7 linked regions of the Canis lupus familiaris genome follow. The protein of the gene in region 2 interacts with the protein of the main gene of each other region in a biochemical or structural test. Links are inferred from orthologs where the notes say so. Each region holds a gene or a part of one and is shown on either strand. Other genes may lie near its edges.

Region 1 (3,500 bases), on a different chromosome or scaffold from region 2:
GATTGGGAAACTAGGATGCTACCAAGGATAATGCATGTGATTTACTGAGCAGATATTCTCTGTAGGCACTGAAGGCTTACCATCATCAGTCATCTAACAGTCCTATAAACTAAGTATGATTAGCCTTACCTACAGGTGGAAAGGCCCAGCGAGATAAAGTAACTAGCCTCAGGTCACACAGTGGTACAACTGGGGTTTGCCAGGCAAGCATAGCCTATTTGAAAGCCAGTTATCTTTTCACACCATTTCCCTGAATGGTGAGCAGGTCCTCCAGCATCAGAGAGACAGCTTTCCTATGCCTGTTCCTCCTCCTCAGAAGCACCCTGCAGCCGGGCATAGATGTGTTCCTTGTGATTAGGCCTCCCCATAGTTGCAGGCCACTGCCTGACACCTGTAGGCAGAGGCCCTACACTGTAGTACATGTCACTTTGTGCATCTTTGGTCGATGCACCCTTGTGGGAATGTGTGTCCCACTCTGAAGCTTCTAGAAAGATTTAAACCATGCACTTCAACATACTAAAGAGATATTATTATTTGCCTTTATGACATCTGTTGAGCAAAAAAGGCCATTTTCTCTTTTTCCTCTGAAACATGTTAAAAGTCCGTATCATTCTGTAATCACCATATTTTAACCTCTCCCCATCCTTGCAAATCTGCTGGACACTCTACTTCATGAACATGAGACTGTGAATGGTAGTTGGAGTGCGTGGAGTACATTAGTTGGCCATACCTTTCCACTTTCCTCCTATCTTCCCTCATTTCTTTCCCACTTCTTGCATCTTAAACTGCTCACTGTTCTCAGGACACATGATATTTCCTCCTTCCAGACCTTCTCAAGCTCTTAAACTCTTTCTTCTGGAAAGAACTGTTCATCTGGAAATGACTCTAAGCTGTCTTTTCTCCCTCTCCATAGGCCTTTCTGTGGGCAGGTAGACTCCTCCCCACTCCCCATCTCCATCCCCATGTCCCCGTAGCATTCTGTGTGTCTCCATAACAACACTCACCACGGTTTATGGTTTACGATCCTCAGTTTACCTTCTGTCTCCCTTCCAACTATAAGCTGCTTGAGGGCAAGAATGGTGTCGTATGCGTCTTCATGTTCAAGAGTGCACATTTGCAAAGTGAGCTCTGAATAAATAAGGAAGAGGTGAGGGATGGAGACAGGATGAAGAGGGCAAGGATCTGACCACAGAGGGACATCACAGAAATGTAGAGACATACACAGAGAAGGTGGCTTTGCATTAGGAGCTTTCCTGGATGTTAATTGCTTTTCTGTTTGCTTCTTAATTGGCTCCATGCTCCTATTCCCCCCTTCCTTGTCTTTTTAACACAGAATAAGACAAGCTTCATCTCAACCTAGAAGGGAATATCAGCCTAAACCGCGAATGAGCCTGGAGTTTACAACTGGAGACAGTACTCAGCCCAATGGGGGCCTCTCCCACACGGGCACACCCAAACCTGCAGGTAAGTTGCTGAGACCTGCAGACCCCATTACACAGGCTGTGGGCACATGCCGTCGATACTTTTCCAGAAATTCTAGGTGCAGCCTGGCTGGCTGCACAAGAAACTATACAGTGATACATTTCTTACAGGATGGTTTTGTCATGTAGAAGCTCTTTTAAAGCACTCCATCCTTATTTTCCCATTGATCATTTCTTTGCCTCCTTTTCCCCCTTCTCTCCTCTAGAAATGTCCCTTTTTCTCTCACCATTATCAGCACCCATTAACCTTCTAAGTAACACAATTGATTTTGACCTCTCTTTGTGGTTTTAATTTACCATAGGTGTCAGGGGTGTCATCTTTCTTTTCTGTTTCCCCTGTGTTCCAGCCTGCTTGAGGGTGAATGCCCTGGCAGGGTGTGCCCACATGCACTCACATATAACCCATAGACAGCAACTCCAGGAACATATCAAACTGGATTTCTTAAGTCACTGGAGCCTATGGGTGACTGTACGTATAGACAATATATTTTGAATATCAACATCAGCTAGCTTTCCCTCCTTCCTCCACCTTCAACCAGTTCACTGTACCCTGGCAACTGAGGTTGGTATAGTAAAAGCTAAAATTTATTTTCTATCAATATCAATAATATTGATGTATACCCAATAATATGTTTTTTTAGTTGACACCATTGCTCTCTACCCCGTATAATACAGATTAAGGAAAAGCTTGTGCTTGAGACATTTTCAACCTTAACAATTTGTTTGGTTGAAGAAGTGGAAACTGTCTTACACTGGGCATGGACTTCAAAGAAATAAGAGTGTCTCCTATTTTCCCTGTGACCCACTGCTTGATGTTTGTAGTAGGAAATGTTTTATGAAATGCTCTCTGGAGACCAGGAAATAAAATCGTGAGCTCTGTGGTGGTAGTTGGCACTCTCCACCCTTTGTGTTCACCTAACTAGTTGCTTGAAGCTGCCCAGGGTAGGGTATAATCAGCAGTGGCTCTTACAAGTTAGCTGGCTCCGAGGACTAATCATGTAAATTGGGATTAGTTTGCTTCTCCCTATTCAGAAACCAACCACATATTTTACTCTTCTTTTGGAGACTTGGTCATTTTCTGCTTTCTTAAAGTAAAAAAAGAAAATAGATTTTAATTTAAAGTCATCAGACATGGGGGCAATATGTACTTGTCTGAGTTTACATGCCCATGTGGATGCATGCTTTATTAAATATAGATGGTCATTTAAAATAGATCACTTTTAAGATACAATTCCATTCCTCATTATCTTACTGAAGGCAGAGCGTGTTATTTTTGTGTGCCAGAACTCCCATGTACTCATCCTTATATATGCAACAGTTTACAAAGAGTAAGTTATATAATTTTTACGTAATTTCACTTGATAGCCACAATAGTATTACGGCGTAGATCCTATTAGTTATAATGCTAGGCAAAGAAACTTGAAAGGGAAGTACCTTGTATAAAGTCACCCAGAGTATGAACTCGAACCCAGTGTCTTATATTGTTTTGTTTTCACCACATTACAGCAGTTTTCCAGAGGCTGGAGTCTTTACTTTTGAAAAATGAGGACGCACAGTTATTCTGAGGTTGCTAATAAGCATTGTCCATGTAATGAACCTGACTCTTTCACATGTACAGAGATTTTAAAATGCTAACATTGAAAGCATTCTGACCATGTTCTAGTAACCTAAATTCCATCAAAATTCCTTAAGTCACTGGGTCTCCCATCTCTGGACATTGTCAGGAAGGCAAACCTTGGTGGACTGTGTTGCATGTGTCACCAGCATAGATGAGGCCGTTATTCATACTGGAAATGGAAGCACATATCCAGCCACTTCCAGGAATCTGAGAAAACTTCCAAAGACTCGTGAAGAGCAGATGCTATGCAGTGGACTGGGGACTAGCCTCAAGAGGAAACTTCAGCAGGAAGAGGAGTGAGGGAGGAAGCAAGGAGGATGGCGGGCTGGAAAGGTTAAGCAGGTGGTAGACTTGTGAGTTAAATGCCCCTTGTCTTTCTGTATTCTTCTCTCCTGCTTTCA
Region 2 (3,500 bases):
ATCACTATTTTCCTTTCTTAAGTAATTCAAGTAGTGGTAAACCAAACAGTAATTACATACATAAAACAAATCATTTACTATACCTTTGAAGTGTCAAATGTAGTGTTTTCATTAAAAATAAATGTTACATTTCAGTAGAGAGTGTACACAAGAAGCAAAAAAATTAATACATTTATCATAAACCAAAGTTATTTTGACAATTAAAACATATAATAGATGGTGAATTTCCAGTTTAGGTTTACCTGCTTGGAACCAGCAAATATTCTTCTCCTATTGGCAAGGCAATCTGGAATTTTTCTAGCAGTTTAAAATACTGTGACATGTAGTTCTTTGGAAATCTCTTTTTCTTTGAAAGAAATTTTTCCACATCTCTACGTGAAATGATTCCCTTAGGATGTTTTGGATAGCCTTCCACTTTCACTGTCAAAATCTGAAAGATTTAAACTCGTAAATAATCACTAGAATTCATTCTCTGAAAAGTGTTTAATTTAAAGCATTTTGTGTCTCTTTGCTATTGATATGATCAAAACAATTTAATGTTGTCAAGTGTAACAGGGCACCTGATTTCTCTACTAGAAGCCCTGTAACCAGAAGCCCAGTAGGGCAACCATTCCTCCACAAAAAAAAAAAAAAATTAAGAGAGTGAATGCAAATCAAATATTATAGAGATCCTCTGCAATCAATGAATGTTAAACCTTCCCCAGCTCCAATTAACAAATCAATCCAACACCCTTCATCCTTATTATAGCCTCATCAACAATATATTTATTGGGAAATTATCCTCTAGACTATGTTCTCATTACAGGTTTGCCACAGGTTTGCCTTAGAAATGTTACTTGAGCATAAAGGAAAACGGTTTCCATCAATAGGAAGAGAGGCAGTATGTGGTACAGGTTAGTGATTCTTACACAAAGTAACTACAGAATTTCGCTGGACTCCAGATGGAGCCTGGATCAGTAGGTCTGAGATGAAGCTTGAGAATGTGCTTGTTTAACAAGAAACTCCGATGATTCTACTATAGAGACCATACTTTCAGCTTTGACCATCATCACAGAAGTTAAAAGTATTAACTTCAGAAGAACCCAGGTTCAAATCCATGTTCTAGTACTAGCTGCGTTATCTTGAGAAAGGTATATAATTTCCTTAAGCCACAGTTTCAATCAGATCAGATAATAAAAGTGACTCACCCTTAGACTGTCATGACATTGAAATAAGATAACATACAAAAGGCATGCAAAGTGCATATGACAATTTTTAGCTTATAGTAAGCCCTCATATGTTAGCTATTACTATCTACATATTCCTATTCATTTTACTTAGCCAAATGATTTTTTTAAGTTTGTGCTTAATTTCTTTACTCGATCTTTAGCATATAAGGGATACTTCAATAGGAGCATATATTATGTACATTATCATGTAGGTGGGTGAAATATTGGATTGTAAAATCCTTAGGTCCACGGACTTATCTCCTTTATCTCTATATCTCTGTTTGGTACATAATTATATGTATTGAATCATTATTGAATCAATGAATGCATGACTGGCTGAACACAATGGTGTCTAACAACAATGTATAAATGGGTCATTAAATAATAAAAACTGCAGTGTGGGACTTCTCCCATATTGTGCACTTTAGAGCCCAGACTGCTCTTACAAATCAGGTGGTAAGGAAAATTGGTTGCTGTTCTGGCATTTTTAAAGTTGTTAAGACCAGGGGTGCCTGGGTGGCTCAGTGGTTGAGCATCTGCCTTTGGCTCAGGTAATGATCCTGGGGTCCTAGGATCGAGTCCCACATCAGGCTCCCCTCAAGAAGCCTGCTTCTCCCTCTGCCTGTCTGTGTGTGTATGTGTCTCATGAATCCATAGTTTTTTTTAATTGTTTGAAAATAAAGTTGATAAGACCTTGTCTGACAACTCCCTCTCTATTCCAACCATATTTTGCATTTTCTTTACAGCATCTGCCACCTGACATTTTAAGTGTTTATTTATTGGTTATTTCCTCCTATTTGAATATCAGCTTCACGAAAGCAGGAACATTGTTTTATCTATGCTTATAATGCTTATCCAGCATCAGAACAACATCTGGGACACTGTAGGTCTCAAATCAATGTTGGATGAGTGAATCTGGGGAAAAGAAAGTGTAGAGCATTTTATCCTGGGGTTTGATTTAGGGGCACTGGAGTCAAACTACTTAGTTTGAAATCCCAACTCTACTTCTTCCTAAATATGTTGATTTGGATAAATTGTTTAACTTCTCTGTCCATCAATTTCTTCATCTTCAGGATGAGGACTAATCTAGTACCATTTAAAAGAGTTGCTCTGAGAATTACATGAGAAAATGTTTGAATAGCACATAAGTAACCCCTTGTATGTTAGCCATTATTATATACTCACTCTAATTTATTTTGATACTTTGACTTCATTTTTAAAATTTTCTTAAGGTTTTTTTAAGTAATGTCTATACCCAACATGGGGCTTGAACTCACAACCTGGAAGATTGAGAGCTGCAAGCTCTTCTGACTGAGCCAGCTGTGCACTCCTAGAAACATTGATTTAAAATTGGCATGTTTGTTGGGATGCCTGGGTGGCTCAGTGGTTGAGCATCTGCCTTTGGCTCAAGGCATGATCCTGGAGTCCCAGGATCAAGTCCCACATCAGGCTCCCTGCATGGAGCCTGCTTCTCCCTCTGCCTGTGTCTCTGCCTCTCTCTCTCTCTGTGGGTCTCATGAAAAAATAAATAAAATCTTTTTAAAAATTAATAAAATAAAATAGGAGTTTGTGCTTGATGTTTTTAAGTAGATCTATGGTGCACTACCACTATTTGTAGTAGATGGTTTCCAAAGACAGACACATGAATTGCTTCTCTTCCTACACAGGTGTGGTGTTTGATCTTTCATTTCTTGAAGGATCCTTGATTCCTCTTGAACCTGGATAGGCTCTATGGTTACTCCAGTCATTAGAACATGGCACAACTGACATTTTATCAGCTCTGGGCCCACCCTTTGAGAGGACTGGTCATATGAAAGACTACATGGTGGAGCACCAACATACCAAAAATGTGAGTGTAAGTTTCTTGGACTCAGCAGCTTGACTCAATGAAGGAAGCCAAGTGAATGACCCCTGCCAATGCCATGGCAGCAGAGCTGTTCCGCTGAGCATGGTCAGCCCACAGAACAGTGAGAAACAATAAAATGTTGATGTTTTACTCCAAGTTTGGGGGTATCTTGTTACATAGCAATGCAAAACTGAAATGTTATCTAAATTTTATCACCTTTGAAAGAACTCTTTATATTCCTTCTGCCTCATAATTTATAATTCCTAACGTATGCCGTTATGCAAAGAAAGAAAATTTCCCAAGTTCCTCACCCAAGTTTTTAACAAGATTACATTGCCATGCAAGCTTTTTAATGTTCCACCTGATTAATTCAGTAAGTGTCCTTCATATCTCTTTTATCATATGGTTAAATGAGTTTTTGCAAACTTCTCTGTGCAATGACGGAA
Region 3 (2,956 bases), on a different chromosome or scaffold from region 2:
AGATTTCCTGTTCCCTCCAGGCCAGCCCCAGCTCCCCACAAAGCCAAACCCCACCCAGCAAACTGGCCTGAGGCCAGGAGGGGGCTGGAGGCCCGGGGCTGCCGTTCCCACGGAGACCAGCCCGGTCAGCTGGGTGGGGCAGAGGCACCCACCTCACTCCTACCCCGCCCGCCCGCCCCGTGTTCAGTGCTGTGACCCTTACCCTCGGGGTTAGCACCGCCACTTCACCTTGTTCTCTGCGTGCGTGCGGCTGGTTCTTGTTTCTATGCTTCTGTTGTTTTTGCTTTACGTGAGAATTTTCTAGTGTAGCATTTTAATTCTTTTAATGATTATTTTTTTCATATCTTTTGAGTCATTTTCTTAGAGGCTGCTCTAGCTTAAGATGCACCATCGTGGGACGCCTGAGTGGCTCAGCAGTTGAGCGTCTGCCTTTGGCTCAGGGTGTGATCGAGTCCCCATCAGGGTCCCCGCAGGGAGCCTGCTTCTCCCTCTGCCTGTCTCTCTGCCTCTCTGGGTGTCTCATGAACAAATAAAATCTTAAAAAAAAAGATTCATCGTACTAACCCTCTGTAAACACCTCAGGGCACAGAGCACACTCACCCTGCCGCGCACCCACCCCCACCACCATCTCTAGAACCTTCCCCATCCCCAGGAAGCACTGACCCCCGCCCCCTGCCCCACCCCTGGCTCCCACCACCTCCTCCTCTGTCTCTGTGGACGGGCCTCCTCTGGGGACCTCCTGGGAGTGGGGTCCTGCAGGAGGCGTCCTTCTGGGTCTGGATCCCCTCCCTGAGCCCGGTGTCCTCGGGGTCCATCCACGTGCGGCAGGTGTCGGGCCCCTTCCTTCCCGGGGCTGGACCGTATCCCGGGTGTGGTCGTATCCCCTGGATGGACACCGGGGTGCTTCCCCCTCCTGCCCCCCGTGAGGCTGCTGCGCACCTGCGCCCGTTGGAGCCCCAGCCTTGGCTCCCGGGTCACAGCTCCATCACAGCCCAGCCCGTCCCTTGTGCCCAGTCGCGGTTACACGTCACCTGCACACCTGTTAGGGAACAGAGCGGTGCCCGGCGGTTCCGGGGCTCCGCGTGCTGAAGCCTGGCGGGTCCCCACCCGGGGCGCCTTCTCGCCCCGCCCCCGCCCCGGCTCCTCCTCCGCGCTCGGGACTCACGGCCGCCCCCCCTGGAGCTCCCATCCCGCGCGGCGCTGAGCCCGACCCCGCACACAGCACCTGGGCCCGGGGAGGGCTGCAGGAGGAGGCGGATGCGCAGGGCCCAGCGAGGGTCCCAGGTGCCCCGCCCCGCCTGCGCTGCGCCCTCCCGCCAGCAGGGGGCGCGCTCCCCCGCCCGGAAAGCGGAAGCGCGTTCGCGGACGGCGAGGGGGCGGGGCGCGCGGGGCGCACGTGATAACCGCGCAGGCGCGGAGCGGCGGCCTTTCCCGCAGAGGAACTGGCAAGATGGTGAGTACTCTGGGCTTCCGCGGCGGTTCCCGGCCCATCCGACGCCATCCGCGGCCTGGCCGCCCCGTGAGCGCCCGGGTCCGGCCGCCCGGCTGCGGCAGCCGCCTCCAGGCCCGCGGGAGCCCCGGACGTGAGGGCGCGGGGCGGGCCCGGTCCGTGCCGGGAGGACGCGGGGCGAGGCCGGTCCCCGCCGGACCCCAGCCGCCCGCAGCCGCGTGTGCGCTCCCGGGCCGGGCGCGTCGTGGCCCCGTGGGCTGCGGGGCGCGGGCCGGGTGGGCGCGGCGGCCGTGGGGCCGGCTCCCACCCGCGCTGCCCCCCTGACCTCGCTGCCCCCGCGCCCGGCCCGCGCAGGCGGAGGTGGAGCAGAAGAAGAAGCGCACGTTCCGCAAGTTCACCTACCGCGGCGTGGACCTGGACCAGCTGCTCGACATGTCCTAGTAAGCGCGGCCGGGCGGGCGGGCGGGCGGGGCGGGGCGGGGACGGGGGCGGGGGGCGCCCCGGCTCAGGCCCCCGCCTGTCCCCGCGTCCCAGCGAGCAGCTCATGCAGCTGTACAGCGCGCGGCAGCGGCGCCGGCTGAACCGGGGTCTGCGGCGGAAGCAACACTCGCTGCTCAAGCGCCTGCGCAAGGCCAAGAAGGAGGCGCCCCCGATGGAGAAGCCCGAGGTGGTGAAGACGCACCTGCGGGACATGATCATCCTGCCCGAGATGGTGGGCAGCATGGTGGGCGTCTACAACGGCAAGACCTTCAACCAGGTGGAGATCAAGGTTCGCGGGGCTGCCGGGCCACTGGGGGGTGGGTGGGGGGCGACCTGGCGGCCTGCGCCCCGTGACGCCCTCCCCTGCTCGCCCTCCGCAGCCCGAGATGATCGGCCACTACCTGGGCGAGTTCTCCATCACCTACAAGCCCGTGAAGCACGGCAGGCCCGGCATCGGGGCCACGCACTCCTCCCGCTTCATCCCCCTCAAGTAGCCGGTCGGCCAATAAAGGCACCGACTCCCGGACTCGTGTGGTCCAGCGTCTGAGCTTGCTTCCTCCCGTCGGCGCGCGCCTGGTTTCCCGCCGCGGGCGCCGGCTTGGCCCCACCTAGCTGCGGTCGGTCGTTGGCAGCCTCCTGGCATCCCCTGGGCCGAGGGAGGCGTCTGCCCTGGGGCCGTGCCCTTCTGGGGCCGCGGCTCCCCACCTCTCCCTCCCCGGGGTGGGTCCACAGCTGGAGCGGATGACTGCGGGTATTTCTGCTCAGGTGCATCCCCCTTGTCGGCACAGGGCACCCCGAGGTGGTGGATGGCCCAGACTGGGTGCTAACTGTCCGGGCAGTGGGGGCTGTAACTCGCTGACGGATCACAGGTGGGGAGACGGGAGGCGGTGCTCTGGGTTTGCCCCGAGGGAGCTGACCTGGGGACAGCAGGGAGGTGGGAAGCGAGGTGCCTTCTGTGCGCCCAACAGTGGTAAGGTGTGCGCACCCCTGGGAGCGGAGGGATGGCCAGGTGCTGAGCTGGGGCCC
Region 4 (2,661 bases), on a different chromosome or scaffold from region 2:
GGTCTGCGGCTCCTCTGCAGGGAGGCGGGCGGGCCCCCCGGGCTGCTGGCCTTGGCTGAACCGCCGTGGGTGATGCGTCCCCACAGAATGAGCAGTTAGCTCACGCGGGGGCGGCCCCCGCTGCTTGTGCTGTCCAGGCGCCTGCTGTCCGTCCAGGTGCTCAGCCAGGGACACCACTTCGCCTTCCCGGGGCCACAGTGCCCTGCCCGCCCAGGACTCTGTTATGGCACAACGTTTTTTACGGTTTTCATCCTTCATTCTCATTTTCTTTTTAATTTTATTTATTTATTCATGAGAAGAAAGACAGGCAGAGACACAGGCAGAGGGAGAAGCAGGCTCCATGCAGGGAGCCTGACGCAGGACTCGATCTCAGGTCTCCAGGATCACGCCCTGGGCTGAAGGCAGCGCTAAACTGCTGAGCCCCCCGGGCTGCCCCTTCATTCTCATTTTTTAATGCTTTTTAAAATATATGTAATTCTGGGGGGGCACCTGGGTGGCTCAGCCCACAGAGCATCTGACTCCTGGCTCAGGTCGTGATGTCAGGTCGGGAGCCGAGCTCCAGCTCCAGCTCCGTGCTCAGCGGGGGTCTGCTTGTGACTGTGCCCCTCGCGCTGCCCCTGCGCCTGCTTGTACACGCTCACAGTTTCTCTCAACATAACATTTTAAAAACTAATAAGTAGTATGTGATTCTCTTGGCCCTCCAGTCCTCTTGTGCTTGCACAGAGTTGGCCGTCGCACTCTTGACTCCATTCCTTGTTCCTCTCCTGTGGGGCCGCCGGCGGGAAGCCGGGGGCAGGGGGCGGGGGGGGGGGGGTCTTCGTAGGCGACCGTGTAGGTCACAATATCACGACAAAATCGAGGCTGATTGGGTCAGTGGGGAGTGTTTCCTGTCCCCATGAAGAGTTGTCTGTTCCCACATCTGCCCCTGGGTCATAACCTAAGGGATTTCTTTTCAGCTTTTGAAATGACGCTAACGGAGGGAAACAGGCTGGAGAAGAAGCTCTTCTACGCGACTTTCGCTACTGTGAGTGAGCGTCGGGGTGGATGGACGCGGGGCCCAGCCAGAGAGCGCGCCGGGGAGGTCCCCGTAGGGCTGCGGTAAATGAGTTGTCTGCCGCCCTGCAGCTGGATCAGATGCGTCCTGCCCACGAGCACAATTAGCAAATAACTGCCCAAAGTATGAAGCGTTACATCCTTGACCAAGGTCTCAGGAATCAGGAATCGCGCCCTTAAACGGCAGCCTCCTGTATTTAAAGGCAATCCATCTGCCGTAATTTTCTAGATCGTTCCAACGACTTGGCGTGGAGTTGGAATGTATCTAATGCTGTGTTCTGAGGCTTCAGAACAGTGTCCTGCAGGATTTGACAGTAAGCGAGAGGCAGTCCTTCTAGTAACAGGTGTTGAAACCCACCTGCCGCGATTAGAGTCCTAGACAGGTGTGTTTTATGGGAGCTCGGAAACGGCCGTGGCCCTCGAGGAAGTGAAGGCGTGCGTGTGACCATGTGCACGCTCGTGCGTACGCGCAGGGAAGGTGTAGGGCTAGGGCTTGCACGCCTGTGTCCTGCTCCATGGCGCTCAGGATGGTCCTCCACGCGGACCGCCACTAAACCCAGGGAGCGAATTAGTGAACGGCCCAAGCAGGTGCGTCTGAGGCTCCCTGGGTGAGAGTTTGACACACGAAGCGGTGGTTCTTGGATGATCACCCCTGGGGGCTCCGGTGGCCGGGGTTCCAGGCCATGCGCAGGTGCGCAGGCAGTCCCGGGGCAGGACCCTCCCCACCCTGGGAATCTGTCAGAGGAGCCCAGCAGACCGAGAGCAAACCCAGAACGGGCCGAGCCCGTGCCTCCGCCCGTAGGAAACCGGGAACGTCCATCTCTACCTATTTTCCTTCTCCCACCAGGAAGACCGGAAGGAAGGGATGACCGCGTTTGTGGAAAAGAGAAAGGCCAGCTTCAAAGACCAGTGAGCGCCTCCGCCTCTGCCTTGAACCCTCGACTCGAAGACAGGAATTACGGTCTGACGGTCTTAGAAGCAAATAAATTCTCTAGTAAAGGGCCCTGTAGGCGGCACGCAGTCTCTGACGCACGGGGCTCTCGCTCTCCTGAGTGGGGGCGGTCTTCACCCGGCGGTCCTGAGACTCCGTGTCTGGAGCCTGTTCTCATTCTGACTGAGCAGATTCTTAATCAAAAATTCTCACACACACACACACAAATTCTTACGAGGGGAGCTTGGGCGGCGCAGTTGGTTACGTGGCTGGCACTGAGCCCAGGTCATGATCTCAGGGTCGTGGGGCTGAGCCCTGCATCGGGCTCCCTGCTTGGTGGGGAGTCGGCTTCAGACCCTCCGTCTGCTCCTCCCCACACTCGTGTGCACACTTGAGCGCTCTCTCTCTCTCTCTGTCAAATAAATAACCCTAAAAAAAAATCCTGCTGGTGAGCCCTCAGTGGTGTGTGTAAGTTTTCACTTGACTTTAGGGACTGAGATATTTCGATGCCAGACTCACTCCGTACAGCCTGCCGTGTTGAGATGGACGCGCGTTCCCCCGGTCGCTGTGCAGCTTCGCAGCCCGTGAATGTGAAACTCGGAGGAGGGCGCCACCGGCATGCAGCGGACGGAAATCACGCTGTGCCTCTCCTCGTAAGCAGACGCCACGTCGCTCTT
Region 5 (4,160 bases), on a different chromosome or scaffold from region 2:
AGGCTGGGAAGAAGTAGCCCAGTCCTTCCAGCTCCCAGAGAGTCTGTAATTCTTTTGCCTCTGCTCTGCCTTAAATTAGAGGTCTGTGAAACCGAATTATAGTGATCCAGAAAGTTCGTAAAGGTCCTTTGAATTGAACATGTTGTTAAATTCTTCAATACTATGAGGTTGTGTCCACCTTTCACTTCTGCCTCCCATTCCACTTGGTTATAGTATTACAAAGCAGTTTGGTACTGCGAAAAATGTCTTGGCCACTTGAGAATACCGTAGCTGAATTAGGCCAATTCCACACTTAACATCCAGGCCAAGGCTTCCATGCCATTTCTGAAATGATCATCCACTTCCTTCTATCGATAATTTTCTTTCTGCACAGGAACCTCACATTGACACCAGATGTACCTTCCGAAGAGGACCCAATTAACAAAAACCATTTGGCTAACTGGGAACTGATCTGAAGAACCACCACCAGTATCTGATCTACAGTGGGCGCACTCCTGATAGAAGTGTGCCATGCTAGTATCTTTTAGTTTCTCAACTCAGAAACTTGCTTTACTAGGACAAAGCTACCTTCAGAGTGAGGAAAAAAAAAAAAAAAAAGTAGAAAAGAAACCTGATTTACTTTAGACCCTAAGGTCCAAAGATAAGATCACTATAATACCATCTTCTTCATGAAACCTATCTCCCAGAGAGATCATTGCCATTTCTGAACTCCAACTGGGACATTTCTTTTTACTATCTATACAATAATCTTGTATCATCATGATTTGCATACGTGCTTTCTAAATGGTAAGTTCCTTGAAGGAAACAGGTACATTTTAAATATTTTTGTATGCCCCCAAATCCTATGCACTACATTATCTATCTATCTATCTATCTATCTATCTATCTATCTATCTATTTAAAATCTCATACATCCACATACATGAATATGTACAGATACCTACACACATACACATACATATTTATACATCTATTAAACCGAATTGAATAAATAAGTGTATACCAAATACAAAGTAACTGATGCCAGCTCTTTAATACATCAAAGCTTGGAATGCCCATTCGAAGCTGTTATGTCTAAGAGATTGTAGGTTTTCCCTCTATTAAGGAACATCTGCACTTCATAATGCCAATTCCTACGTTCTTCAGCACTCTGAGCTTTCCAGAGTCCCATTCTCCCCTAATGGTCAAGGAAAACACAGCCTTACTTTGAACTCTTGAGAATATATATCACCTCCTTCTTGGTCTGAGATGTATGATTCTCATCAGGAATTAAAAAGGGATTCAACAAAAAGCCAAAAAAAAAAAAAAAAAAGGGCAGAAAGCTTATGAGACACTTTAATTTCACCAGATCTTACCCATGCATGTAGTCTTACTCACCTATACCTAATTCACCTCTTCCCTCCATACATCCTCATATGGCATATGCTTTCTCTATAGGGAAGGATTTGTTCTGAAACAAGTGACTTAGGGTCCTAGAGACACCTGACAACACCCCCTTAGCTCTCTAATGCCATGTCAGAAATTTTTAAAATCCCCTCCCCAGAATGACATTAGGGCTGCAAAACACAACTGTGTAAAAAAAAAAAAAAAAAAAAAATCAAGAAAATGAAAAAAAATTAAAAACAACCATAACCCTGAATTTCTGACTTAGTATAGATGTCTAAATACATGAAATTATACATTTAAAAGATTTTATTATGATTTTCAACAAAACGGTGCAGTCCCCTCTTGTTGGTATAATGCTTAAAAGTACAGTTTTTCTCCCCATATTTTCCCCCAAGATGCAAAGCATCTCCCAAATGGGGAGACATAAAACATCTATGTCCTCACTGCTGCTTCTAAATACTGTGAGCCAATAAGCAATTGGTGTACAGTGCAAAATCTCAGAAGAGAAAGACTTCTCGTCTGCTTTTTTTTTTTTTTTTTGGTAATATGTTATTATTCACACTTCACCTTTACTTCCTTTAAAAATCAAAAGTTGCTTAATGTTCAAAGCGATATCAATGGAAATTTAGCTAAAAACAGGCACCGCAACGGTTTATTCCCAAAGGAATATAAGATTACATTAATTTCCTACTAGTTTAACTCAACTTTTACCTTTCATCTTCACCTACGGACTTTTTAAAAGTTTGTATTCCTGTTGCACATAAAATTACTTATAATGTGTGTGCATACTAAAGAATTTTACAATTATATAAAGCACTGCACATTTAGACGCTACCAACCTGCTCTATCTCTCCTGACTGTGCAAAAGGCAAAAAGAGCTCAGTAATCCTAGCAGAAGAATGCAAATAACGTCAATGCACAGCTGAACTGCAAGCCCTGCCTTACAGGAACTCTCTGTGTCTGCAAAAAAAAGACACATACTAAACAGGAAATGCAACTGAGCTGTGGAAAACCTCAAACTTAAAAATGCAATCGCCAGGCGAAAATTGCATCCATGCATTCATAAATGCATGCACAACCCTTTGCATTTTTGCAAGTAATGCAAATAGCCTCTTACCTTTCGACTGAGACATTTTCCCCTTTCCTTTGATGGGGGAGGGGAGCACAAAAGACTTTGCCTTGCTTCTCTTCTGTAGCTAGTTTTGCAACAAAGATGCAAGCTGCAGGCGTGCAATCTTCATGCAAGTGGAGTTTCTCTTGACCGATGCAGCAGATGGACTTTCAGGGAATCAAGATGTAAATGCACACCTTGCAAAACAGACTGGAAAGTGATTTTTCCCCCAGTTGCAACGTTAGGGAAGGCTGTGCTGCAGCTACATGATGGGCCAGGGCTGGCAGCTAAAAGCTCCAAACTTGGAACTGAGTATCTTAGTGCGCAGACGTCCTTCCTGCGAAGGGCGCAGGGGCCGCTGGGTAATGTAGTTCCGAGCAGAGTCCACGGGGCTCGGATTTAAGGAAACGTGGTCGCTCGGGTCGCTGAGCGGGAGGACTGGGTGCACCCAGATAAACAAGTCAGACATGCAGTCGGTAGTGAAGTGATGAGGCCAGAAACGGCGGGGCCAGGGCGAGGGAGCATTTTTGTTACGGAAAAGCCCCTGAAACAACAACAGTTGAAGAACATTAGGTTAGCTGAAAAGCATTTGGCTCGCCGAGAAGGTTGGCTTGGCTGTTTCGTGCTTGCAGGGCAGCACCTGTTGCAGTGTCCTTGCCCGTAGACGTTTTACCCCCACACCTCCATTTTTTTAGAACAGTTTTCTCGCATGGAGCATTGGTTGGTGATTTGGCCTGGTTTAGAGGTAAGGTGACCCCTGGCAACTGAAGAGAGAAGATGCAGAGTTTTTACTAAGAAATGATCCGGGTCGGTTATTTTCAAGAAACCTGAAATTCATTCATTCCTGGGGGTTGGGGGGATGGGAGGGCGGATAGTTCTCATTTCTTGAAGGGTTAAAGAGGAAGTGCTGCTTTTTAGGTGTCCAAGCTAACTGTATCAGAGTTAAAATGTTTAGTTGTTTTTTTTTTTTTTTCTCACCTGATGGAGGAGGAAAGTCCCTGGTGTAAGGGAGAAACGGGGTGGTAATCTTAAGCAAATCAGGTATCTTGAATTTAGTCGACAAAATTAACAGGTATTTGTTGAGCTTGGATGGGCCAGCCTCCTTTCTAGGGTCTTGGGGCATCCACTTGTCATGTGTTGTTCATGGCTAGGGGATGGGCAGCAATATGGTAGACAGAGCCACCCCCTACGCAAGGAAGCCAGAGATGCGCAGGGTGATTCCATGCAAGGAATGAAACCGAGTCTGGGGGCATGGGCTGAAATGAGCTCAGACTTCTGCTTTACTGAGTAGACCAGACTCAGAAATGTGCTTTCAAGGTAGAGTGGGGGAAATGGAGGATTGTAGGCATCTGAGACCCTAACAAGCAGGGTAAGGAAATGAAGACAGCCTATTCAGGAGACACTAAGGATACCATGTTGCTTGTATGCAAAAGTGGTGGTGGACAGAATGTGTAGGTGAGGACTGTGCTGGGCGGTAAAGGCCAACTAGGGGGTTGGACTTTATTCAGCAGGTACTTGGGAGGTGAAAGGCTTTGGGGGGGGGGGGGCGCTTAACAGAATCAAAGCATTGTTTTCAGAAAATTTGTCCTCAGCTATCTCCATGAATGGAAACTCTCGGAGGGTCTAGAGATAGGTCAGGTCAGTAGTGGGAAATTAAAAAGGG
Region 6 (3,975 bases), on a different chromosome or scaffold from region 2:
TGATTCATCCAAGTTATGCAGATGCAGACCGGCTGGCATGCAGTCATTCAGATGTGCAGCCCTGCTGGCAGCCAGCAGGCATTGGGGAAAGATGGCAGGACAATAGAACTAAGAGGAACGGGGTCTACATGGTGCTGCGTGGTTTACGAAGCACTTTGACGCTGTGCCATCTGTCTCCCTGAAGGAATGAGTGAATGGGACCCTGAGGAGACGTTGGAAGCTGAGCCAGGCTGTGAAGAAGCAATTCCAGGAGCCACGGGGCCAAGTTTACACCACAAATGATTGATGGAGCTTAGGAGAATAGGCTTTGGCAAAACGAAACGTGGGCAGGAAACGAACAGCCACTTAATCCCTGATCTATAAAGCAAGCCCAGAGGTACACTCAGCACCAACAGAGAATCACCTTTATCCAGTCAGTTTGTGTCTCAGGACTCAGGGGCCCAGTGCTATTCCTTCCTAAAACACTCCCCACCTCCTGTCACAGATGCACAGGGCCATATAAAATCAAGAAGCACCGTTCTACTGGCAAGGTTCCACAGCATCACTCTGTCCTCATCTCTTCCTGCATTTCATGAACACACCAAATATAATTAGGAAGTGTAAACTTTACAAGGCTAAGAATTATGAGGCCATTACTTCAAGGCCAGGATGAATTAAATTTTCTTAGAAGACAGAGACCTGCAGGAAAACTATAAATGTAATGAGAATGCCAAGGTGGGAGGAGGGAGGGATTCCGGGCTCAAGTGCGACCTGTGTCCCCAGGTGACCTGGCCCAAGTCATATCTTTGTCTGGAAGTGGAGGCCAGTCTTCTCAGAGCCCTAAAGTGCTAGACTGGGCTTTCTGGTTGAGAATTAGAAACCGAACAAAAAAGCCCAATCTCTGAATTGATCTCACTAGTGCCTGTACTGAACAGCAAGTTCCTGAGGCTGGGAAACTGAGGTCTGGGTTGAGGACGAGCCACAGCCTGCCAGGAGTTAACATCTCTTCCTGACCGGTGGGGATGGGATGCAAGGGTTGTCCCAAAGTTTGACCTTGGGGTGGTGGAAGGGGAGGAATCAGAAGCATCTGTGTCTAGGGAGGGGATGGTGTCACTGCAGGAGACATTCTGCTTCCTCCAGGCAGCCTCTGGCCATGATGACCACCTCTTATTCACTATATAGTTCTGATCCTCAACCATCCAGGGCACTGGCCAAGGCAGAAAGCATTAGTCCTAAACTGAAGGAATAGGACTCAGAGAGGCTAAGTGCTGGTTCAAGGGCAAACAACAGCTGGCAAGCAGGCATGACGATTTCCAGTGCGATTCTCTCCACTCTGCATCAGGAACATAACTGTAACGTGCAGCTCCTGGAGGAGGGCAAGGATGGAATGAGCAGCTCATCACGGGGTTCATAGAGATAAGGTGATTGGATTCAAGTTACACGGGGGTAAAGCAAAGCCTGGTGCCCAGGTTTTCCCCATTCAGAATCAACTCCTGAGCTTGGTGACCACTCTGCAGCAAGGCTGTGGAGCTCACAGGCCACGCGATTTGATCGGCGTTACTTCCAGGTCAAATGTTTTCACATGGGCAATGGCTGTTTTTGTGGCGTCGGGAGAAGTCAGCTCCACTTTTGTGGATATCAGAACTGAGAAGCAACAAGCCAATTCTGTTCAACCACAATGTGGGCTGGCCCTGTGGGAAAGGCTGTTCTGCAAAGTGACAACTGGTGTTCTGGGCCTCCAGATAGGGAAGTCAGGGCTGTCTGTGGCAGCGGCTGATTTTGGTTTGTCACTCAAGTTTTTATCTGGCATCTCCTTGGGGGTGACAGGTCCTAGGGCAGGCAGTGGTCACTCACCCTTGACACCCTCAAGTGATGGAAGTTTGGGCGGAGAAAGGCTCCAGACTCCTTCTCACCATTCCTTCTAGGAGAAATTCACCCATAGGGGAAACAGGGTCAGGGAGCCGGGCTTACCCCCTGAACATTCCAGAGGAAAGAGCAGGAGAGAGTTGGTTGAGAGTGCTGGTTCTCAGATGGACCAGCAGTGTTTGCCCTGGGGACCAGCGCTCACATCCCTCCGGCAGGATCCTGCCTTGAGCTTTCGTGTTAGACCCACATGGATTCAAATTCCACCTCTGCCACCTGCAGACGTGACCTTGGGGGAGTCCCCCGTTTCCCTGAGCTTCAAATTCCTCATGTGAGACGGGCTCATTTAGAGCACCTAACACAGAGGACTGGAAAGTGTGATAATGCCCATAAAGCGGCTAGCACACAGTAAATGCTTAATAAGGTTCAGATGTCACAGGCCTCTTCCGATGGCCTACTCCCCAAGCCTGTTTCGCTTCTGTAAGGCGGGGACCCCAAAGGAACAGCTTCGAAGGCTGCCGTGTGAACAGAACGAGACGACCGGAGCCGGGACCCCAGCCCGAGACACATACTTCCTGACAAGCAGCCTGAGGGGTGGGGCCTCAGTCCCCCCATCTGCAAAATGGGCACTTGGTTCGCCGCCTCCCCCCGCTGCCCGGTAACCCCCGGAAGGCGGCGGAGGCGGCTGCTCTCCGCCCCTCCGGCCCCCTCGACCCTCTCAGATCCCTGGATCCGTCCGGCCCAGCCGCTCCCTCAACCCCAGCCCTTCAGGGGCGCGCCCGGCCCGGGCCTCCGGCGTCCTCCGCCGCTCCCCGGCCCCGCTACCTATGGTGGAGATGAAAGTTGAGTTGAAGGCGTCCTCGGAGAAGCGGAACAGGACACAGGTCTTCCCCACCCCCGAGTCCCCGATCAGCAGCAGCTTGAACAGGTAATCGTAGGTCTTCGCCATATTACACTCTCTCCCCGACGGGAAGTGCGGCCAGCGCCTCGCCACTGGCCGCGGGCCCCGTCCATCAGCGCCGAGCCCGCCCCCTATTGGCTCCCAGCCCGCCGCGCGTCACCGCGGCCGCCGCCCGCTCCCGCGCCCCGCCCGTCGCGGGGAGAGCTGGGGAAGGGGCGAGCGAGGCGCGGTGCCGGAAGCGGCCCGAGCGCGCCGCTCATTGGTCGGCGCTCGGGACAGGGCGGGCTCCAATTGGCCAGCCCTGAAGAGTCGGGGGCTTCAAATGCAGCCCGGCGGGGGGCGTGGCCTCCCGGGTCCCCGCCTTCTTTCCCTCTCCCCCCCCCCCCCACCTCTCCCGGCTCCGGGGCGGCCCCGCCCCCCGGCGGGAGGGGAGGGCGGGGCACGTCGCCAACGGCTCCGCGCGCCCGCGGCTCGGGGGCGGGGCTTGGGACGTGCGTACGGGGCCGGGGGGATCGTTAGGCGCCAGCAGAGGGCGCGCGCGCGGCGGGCCCTGGCTCTCCCGCCCTCACGCCTGCGCAGCCTCAGTAGGCGCTGGGAAGAACGCGGGAAGGGGCCGCGCGGGTGGCCGCGTTGTGCGGCGGCTGCGGCGTCGGGCCCCGGCGCGCGAAGGGGAAGGCAGAGCCGGGGTCGAAGCGAGGTCCCCGCGAGACGTCCTCCGGGGCCTCGGCGCTGGCCAGGGGACCGCTTGGCGCTGCCGGGCCTCCGCCACCCGAGCCGCGAGGCCCTCGGACCTAACCGGAGCCTGCCCAGAGCCCGAGCGCCGGCCGCCCCGCCGCGGATGCAGCCCCGTGAGGATGCTGGGACGTGGCTCCGAGCTTGGTGTTGGCCTGCCCGAGTGGTCCGCACTGGGAAAACAACACCAGGTGGCCCCACTCCGACCCGCCGGCTTGGTACTGGGCTTCCCGCCCGTTGATGGGTTAGAAAACCGAGCTTCAGTGATTTCCCCAGGCTCCCGAATGGGGAACCGGGCCCGAGCTCAGACGCGCAGGCTTGGGAAGCCCGAGATGACCTGCGGGTCGGAGGTGGGCCGCGCCGTCGGGGGGTGCGGGCATCTACACTCGGATCTGGATCCGGGCGCGGCGGGGGGGGGGGGGGGCCGAGGGGGGAGCTTCCAGCGGAGCCGCCGCCCACCCTCCTTGCGGGTGTCTCCCGTCGCCCACGCCTGGCCCCCT
Region 7 (3,500 bases), on a different chromosome or scaffold from region 2:
CTTATTGTTAAATACTTCCATTCATTTCTATTATAATTATCATTTCATAAGAGCTCATAAGGCTATTATCCCATTTTACAGATGAAATGAATGCACAGATTTAGTAACTTCCTCAAAGCTTCAGAGCTAGTAGCACAACTGTAAAATACACCCAGTGAATTGGACTTCACTGTGTTTCCCAGCTTTACTAGAATTGCAGATTGTTACTAGAATCAACCTTTGAGAAAGGAAAGATTCATTTGAACAAAGTACAACCCAAGCAATGCTTAGGTTTTGGACAGAGGTTTTTACATGCTCTGATCATATTAACTCCTTTGGTGGTTCATTTCCCCTCAGAGTCAGAATGATGAAATATAAATTATATTCAGGGTTGGATAATTAGACCTTCAAAGTCTCAACGTCTCTCTGGCTCTTCCTTCACCATCAGCTTTCCAAGCCCCTTGAAAGGTAAAGAAGGTAGCTCAGTTTATTTTCATCAAGTGTTTCCTGCTGGAAAGCTTATCCCTACAGGGTACCTGGGTGGCTCAGTTTGTTAAGTATCTGACTCTTGATTTTAGCTCAGGTCATGATCTCAGGGTCCTGGGATCAAGCCCCATGTCTACCTCCACACTCAGGGCAGAGTCTGCTTAGGATTCTCTCTCTCTCCCTTTTCCTCTGCCTGCCCCACCCCCACTCACGCTATCTCTCTCTAAAATAAAATCTTTAAGACAAACAAAAAAATAAAATAAAAAATAAAAAGACAAACAAACAAACAAAAAACAAGAAAACTTACCCCTACATCATCCTCTGGAGACTCCTACATGTGTTTAGAAGGTACATGCTCTTTCTTTGCCTCTAATTTGGAGGCCTACAGCTGTTAGGCCCATTTAGTGTGGAGGGTAATCCAATCCCTCGACACCAGGAAGACAGCTGCAAGTTGAGAGTAGGCCAAGCCTACCGATTCTTATTCTAATAGATTTTCAGACTTGGAGAGGTAGCAAGACAAAGTGGAAGAGTTGATGCTGAATGTGGTCTGTTGGTTGTCTGTGGTCCTTTTTTTTTTTTTTTTTTAATTATTATTTATTTGTTTCACAGAGCACATAAGCAGGCAGAGGGGGAGGGAGAAACAGGCTCCCCACTGAGCAGAGAGCCCGATGTGGGGCTCAATCCTAGGACCCTGAGATCATAACCTAGGCCAAAGGCAGATGCTTAACTGACTGAGCCACTCAGGCACTTCTATGGTCTATTTTTCTATTTTCTACTCACCTTTGGCCAGAAACGAGAAAGGACAGCTTTTCTGGCAAATGGACCCTGGTTAGAGATTCAGAAATATCAAGAAGACTGGTTATAGATGAAGGATATGGAACCAGAAGCTACCCCTCTGCTCTTAGGGAGGGGTGACTAATCCCATACCCTTGTAGTGAATCTTCCATTTTGAAAGCTAGAAAAAAAGATGGGAGTGGGGGGAAGAACAGTACCAGGATACTAATGAGCTACTGGGGACTTAGGGCATGTATGGGTGCATCTGGGTGTTCTTCAGGCCAACTAAAAGTTGTTTGGTTTGGGGTGCCTAGATGGCTCAGTTGGTTAAGCATCCAACTCTTGGTTTCAGCTCAGGTCATGATCTTAGGGTTGGGAGATGGAGCCCTGCATCAGACTCTGTGCTGAGCTTGCAGCCTGCTTAAGATCCTCTCTCTCACTCTGCCCCTCCCCACTTCTTGGTTTGCTGTTCTTTGAAGACCTGTGGTGGTGTGGTGCTGGGGGACCTGGGTGGCTTAGTGGGTTGAGTTTCTGGGTTATGGTTTCAGGCTCAGGTCATGATCTCATGGGTTGTAGGATAGAGCCCTACATCCTGCTCCAGGCTCAGCTAAAGTCTGCTTAAAGAGTCCCTCCCGGGATCCCTGGGTGGCTCAGCGGTTTGGCGGCTGCCTTTGGCCCAGGGCGTGATCCTGGAGTCCCCGGGATCGAGTCCCACGTCGGGCTCCCGGCAGGGAGCCTGCTTCTCCCTCCTCTGGTGTCTCTGCCTCTCTCTCTCTATGTCTATCATGAATTATTTTTTTTAATTTATTTATTTATTTATGATAGTCACAGAGAGAGAGAGAGAGAGAGAGAGAGGCAGAGACATAGGCAGAGGGAGAAGCAGGCTCCATGCACCGGGAGCCTGACGTGGGATTCGATCCCGGGGACTCCAGGATCACGCCCTGGGCCAAAGGCAGGCGCCAAACCGCTGCACCACCCAGGGATCCCTCTATCATGAATTAAAAAAAAAAAAAAAATGATGAGGAATTAATGGGAAATAAACATATAACAGTTTTCCATCTCTCCATTTCAGCTCCCTTGGCAATTGAGGATTATGTAGTAGGGCAAACTCCACTTCAGATGCAATTCTTATTTTATTGTTTCCCATTCTTGCCACGGAGTGTCAGCTGCCTGGGACCCTCTCAGTGGGATAACCTTTTAATGGTGGATGATTTTAATTGCTAAGTCCTCATAGAAGCAAAGAAATGAAGAGATTTATCTTTTCTCTAAAATTAATTGCAGCTGCAATGTCCCTGTGTTTAATTTTACCTACTTTTTTTCTTGCAGGATTGTTGAAGCCTGAAGTCCCCTCCCCTTCCCCCCTCCCCCCTTTGCCGCTTTGTGGCATCCCCCTCCCTCTACCCTTCCCCATTCTGATAATCTAGCCATGACTAGCAGAAGCACAGCCAGGCCCAATGGGCAGCCCCAGGCCAGCAAAATATGCCAGTTCAAATTGGTCCTGCTGGGTGAATCTGCAGTGGGGAAGTCTAGCCTGGTATTACGTTTTGTCAAAGGGCAGTTTCATGAGTACCAGGAGAGCACCATTGGAGGTGAGTACCTCAGGGAAAGAAGAGGGTCAATGATTAGTGAGGCTTTTGAAGGGAGATCGAGGGATCTGACTGTGTAGCTGGCCTTTTTAAGCTCCTTGGAATGGAAATCCTTTATAAAACTGGAAAAAAAAAAAAAGTCCATAATGCCAAAAAGTAGTTATATGCTTGTCCCCTTGCTTCCTAGAAGAAAATTAGGATGACCTTGGCACACCAAGGTCACTTAATTTTTTAAAGCCCAGTTTGTCTTCTGCCTCCCACTTCTCTCTTAATCCAATTGAAGTTCAGTTGAGTGTCATCTAGAACAGGGTTGGCTTGGAGCAGTGATTCATAATCAGAAATGAACATCAGAATCTCTTGGGGAACATTTTCATCCTGTCATGCTTAGGCCCTATCCTAGATCTACTGATTAGCATTGGAACTAGAGTAAGGGTGGGGAGATAGAGACCTATACGTTTGGAAAAGCTTAGATGATTCGGATGTACATACCTGGTAAAAGAGAGGCTGGAACTAAATACAAAAGATAAAAGGTATGTGCCTTTTCCACCTTTGCTACCATCTCCCTTCTACTCCCAAAACAGGGTGCTAGTTAGTAAAAGACCTTTTATGAGAACTCCCATGTTACTCCTTTCCCGCTTTTACTAGTTACCTTGGAAATGTGGTGTTTTTGACCAG

The links.
Region 1: of the proteins of LRRK2 (region 2) and SH3GL2, one has a biochemical effect on the other in vitro, tested with the Homo sapiens proteins (2 studies listed by BioGRID and IntAct). The link is inferred for Canis lupus familiaris from reciprocal best matches to the Homo sapiens genes LRRK2 and SH3GL2.
Region 3: of the proteins of LRRK2 (region 2) and RPS15, one has a biochemical effect on the other in vitro, tested with the Homo sapiens proteins (2 studies listed by IntAct). The link is inferred for Canis lupus familiaris from reciprocal best matches to the Homo sapiens genes LRRK2 and RPS15.
Region 4: the proteins of LRRK2 (region 2) and ECHS1 interact on a protein array, tested with the Homo sapiens proteins (2 studies listed by BioGRID and IntAct, with this or other methods). The link is inferred for Canis lupus familiaris from reciprocal best matches to the Homo sapiens genes LRRK2 and ECHS1.
Region 5: of the proteins of LRRK2 (region 2) and MAP2K6, one has a biochemical effect on the other in vitro, tested with the Homo sapiens proteins (2 studies listed by BioGRID). The link is inferred for Canis lupus familiaris from reciprocal best matches to the Homo sapiens genes LRRK2 and MAP2K6.
Region 6: of the proteins of LRRK2 (region 2) and RAB8A, one has a biochemical effect on the other in vitro, tested with the Homo sapiens proteins (2 studies listed by IntAct). The link is inferred for Canis lupus familiaris from reciprocal best matches to the Homo sapiens genes LRRK2 and RAB8A.
Region 7: of the proteins of LRRK2 (region 2) and RAB5B, one has a biochemical effect on the other in vitro, tested with the Homo sapiens proteins (2 studies listed by IntAct). The link is inferred for Canis lupus familiaris from reciprocal best matches to the Homo sapiens genes LRRK2 and RAB5B.

What each region holds. Positions count from the first base shown.
Region 1 is NC_049232.1:37,823,448-37,826,947, forward strand, and holds part of SH3GL2 (endophilin-A1), read left to right. Parts: intron 1-1,333; coding exon 1,334-1,464; intron 1,465-3,500. UniProt on the Homo sapiens protein: Implicated in synaptic vesicle endocytosis. May recruit other proteins to membranes with high curvature. Required for BDNF-dependent dendrite outgrowth.
Region 2 is NC_049248.1:33,246,660-33,250,159, reverse strand, and holds part of LRRK2 (leucine-rich repeat serine/threonine-protein kinase 2), read right to left. Parts: intron 431-3,500; coding exon 243-430; intron 1-242. UniProt on the Homo sapiens protein: Serine/threonine-protein kinase which phosphorylates a broad range of proteins involved in multiple processes such as neuronal plasticity, innate immunity, autophagy, and vesicle trafficking.
Region 3 is NC_049241.1:57,874,495-57,877,450, reverse strand, and holds RPS15 (40S ribosomal protein S15), read left to right. Parts: upstream 1-1,354; 5' UTR 1,355-1,450; coding exon 1,451-1,453; intron 1,454-1,804; coding exon 1,805-1,890; intron 1,891-1,984; coding exon 1,985-2,219; intron 2,220-2,310; coding exon 2,311-2,424; 3' UTR 2,425-2,456; downstream 2,457-2,956.
Region 4 is NC_049249.1:41,450,931-41,453,591, reverse strand, and holds the end of ECHS1 (enoyl-CoA hydratase, mitochondrial), read left to right. Parts: intron 1-956; coding exon 957-1,024; intron 1,025-1,900; coding exon 1,901-1,966; 3' UTR 1,967-2,161; downstream 2,162-2,661. UniProt on the Homo sapiens protein: Converts unsaturated trans-2-enoyl-CoA species ((2E)-enoyl-CoA) to the corresponding (3S)-3hydroxyacyl-CoA species through addition of a water molecule to the double bond.
Region 5 is NC_049230.1:11,084,174-11,088,333, forward strand, and holds the start of MAP2K6 (dual specificity mitogen-activated protein kinase kinase 6), read right to left. Parts: upstream 2,801-4,160; 5' UTR 2,520-2,800; coding exon 2,504-2,519; intron 1-2,503. UniProt on the Homo sapiens protein: Dual specificity protein kinase which acts as an essential component of the MAP kinase signal transduction pathway.
Region 6 is NC_049241.1:46,760,030-46,764,004, forward strand, and holds the start of RAB8A (ras-related protein Rab-8A), read right to left. Parts: upstream 2,801-3,975; 5' UTR 2,792-2,800; coding exon 2,668-2,791; intron 1-2,667. UniProt on the Homo sapiens protein: The small GTPases Rab are key regulators of intracellular membrane trafficking, from the formation of transport vesicles to their fusion with membranes.
Region 7 is NC_049231.1:669,367-672,866, forward strand, and holds part of RAB5B (ras-related protein Rab-5B), read left to right. Parts: intron 1-2,565; 5' UTR 2,566-2,665; coding exon 2,666-2,828; intron 2,829-3,500. UniProt on the Homo sapiens protein: The small GTPases Rab are key regulators of intracellular membrane trafficking, from the formation of transport vesicles to their fusion with membranes.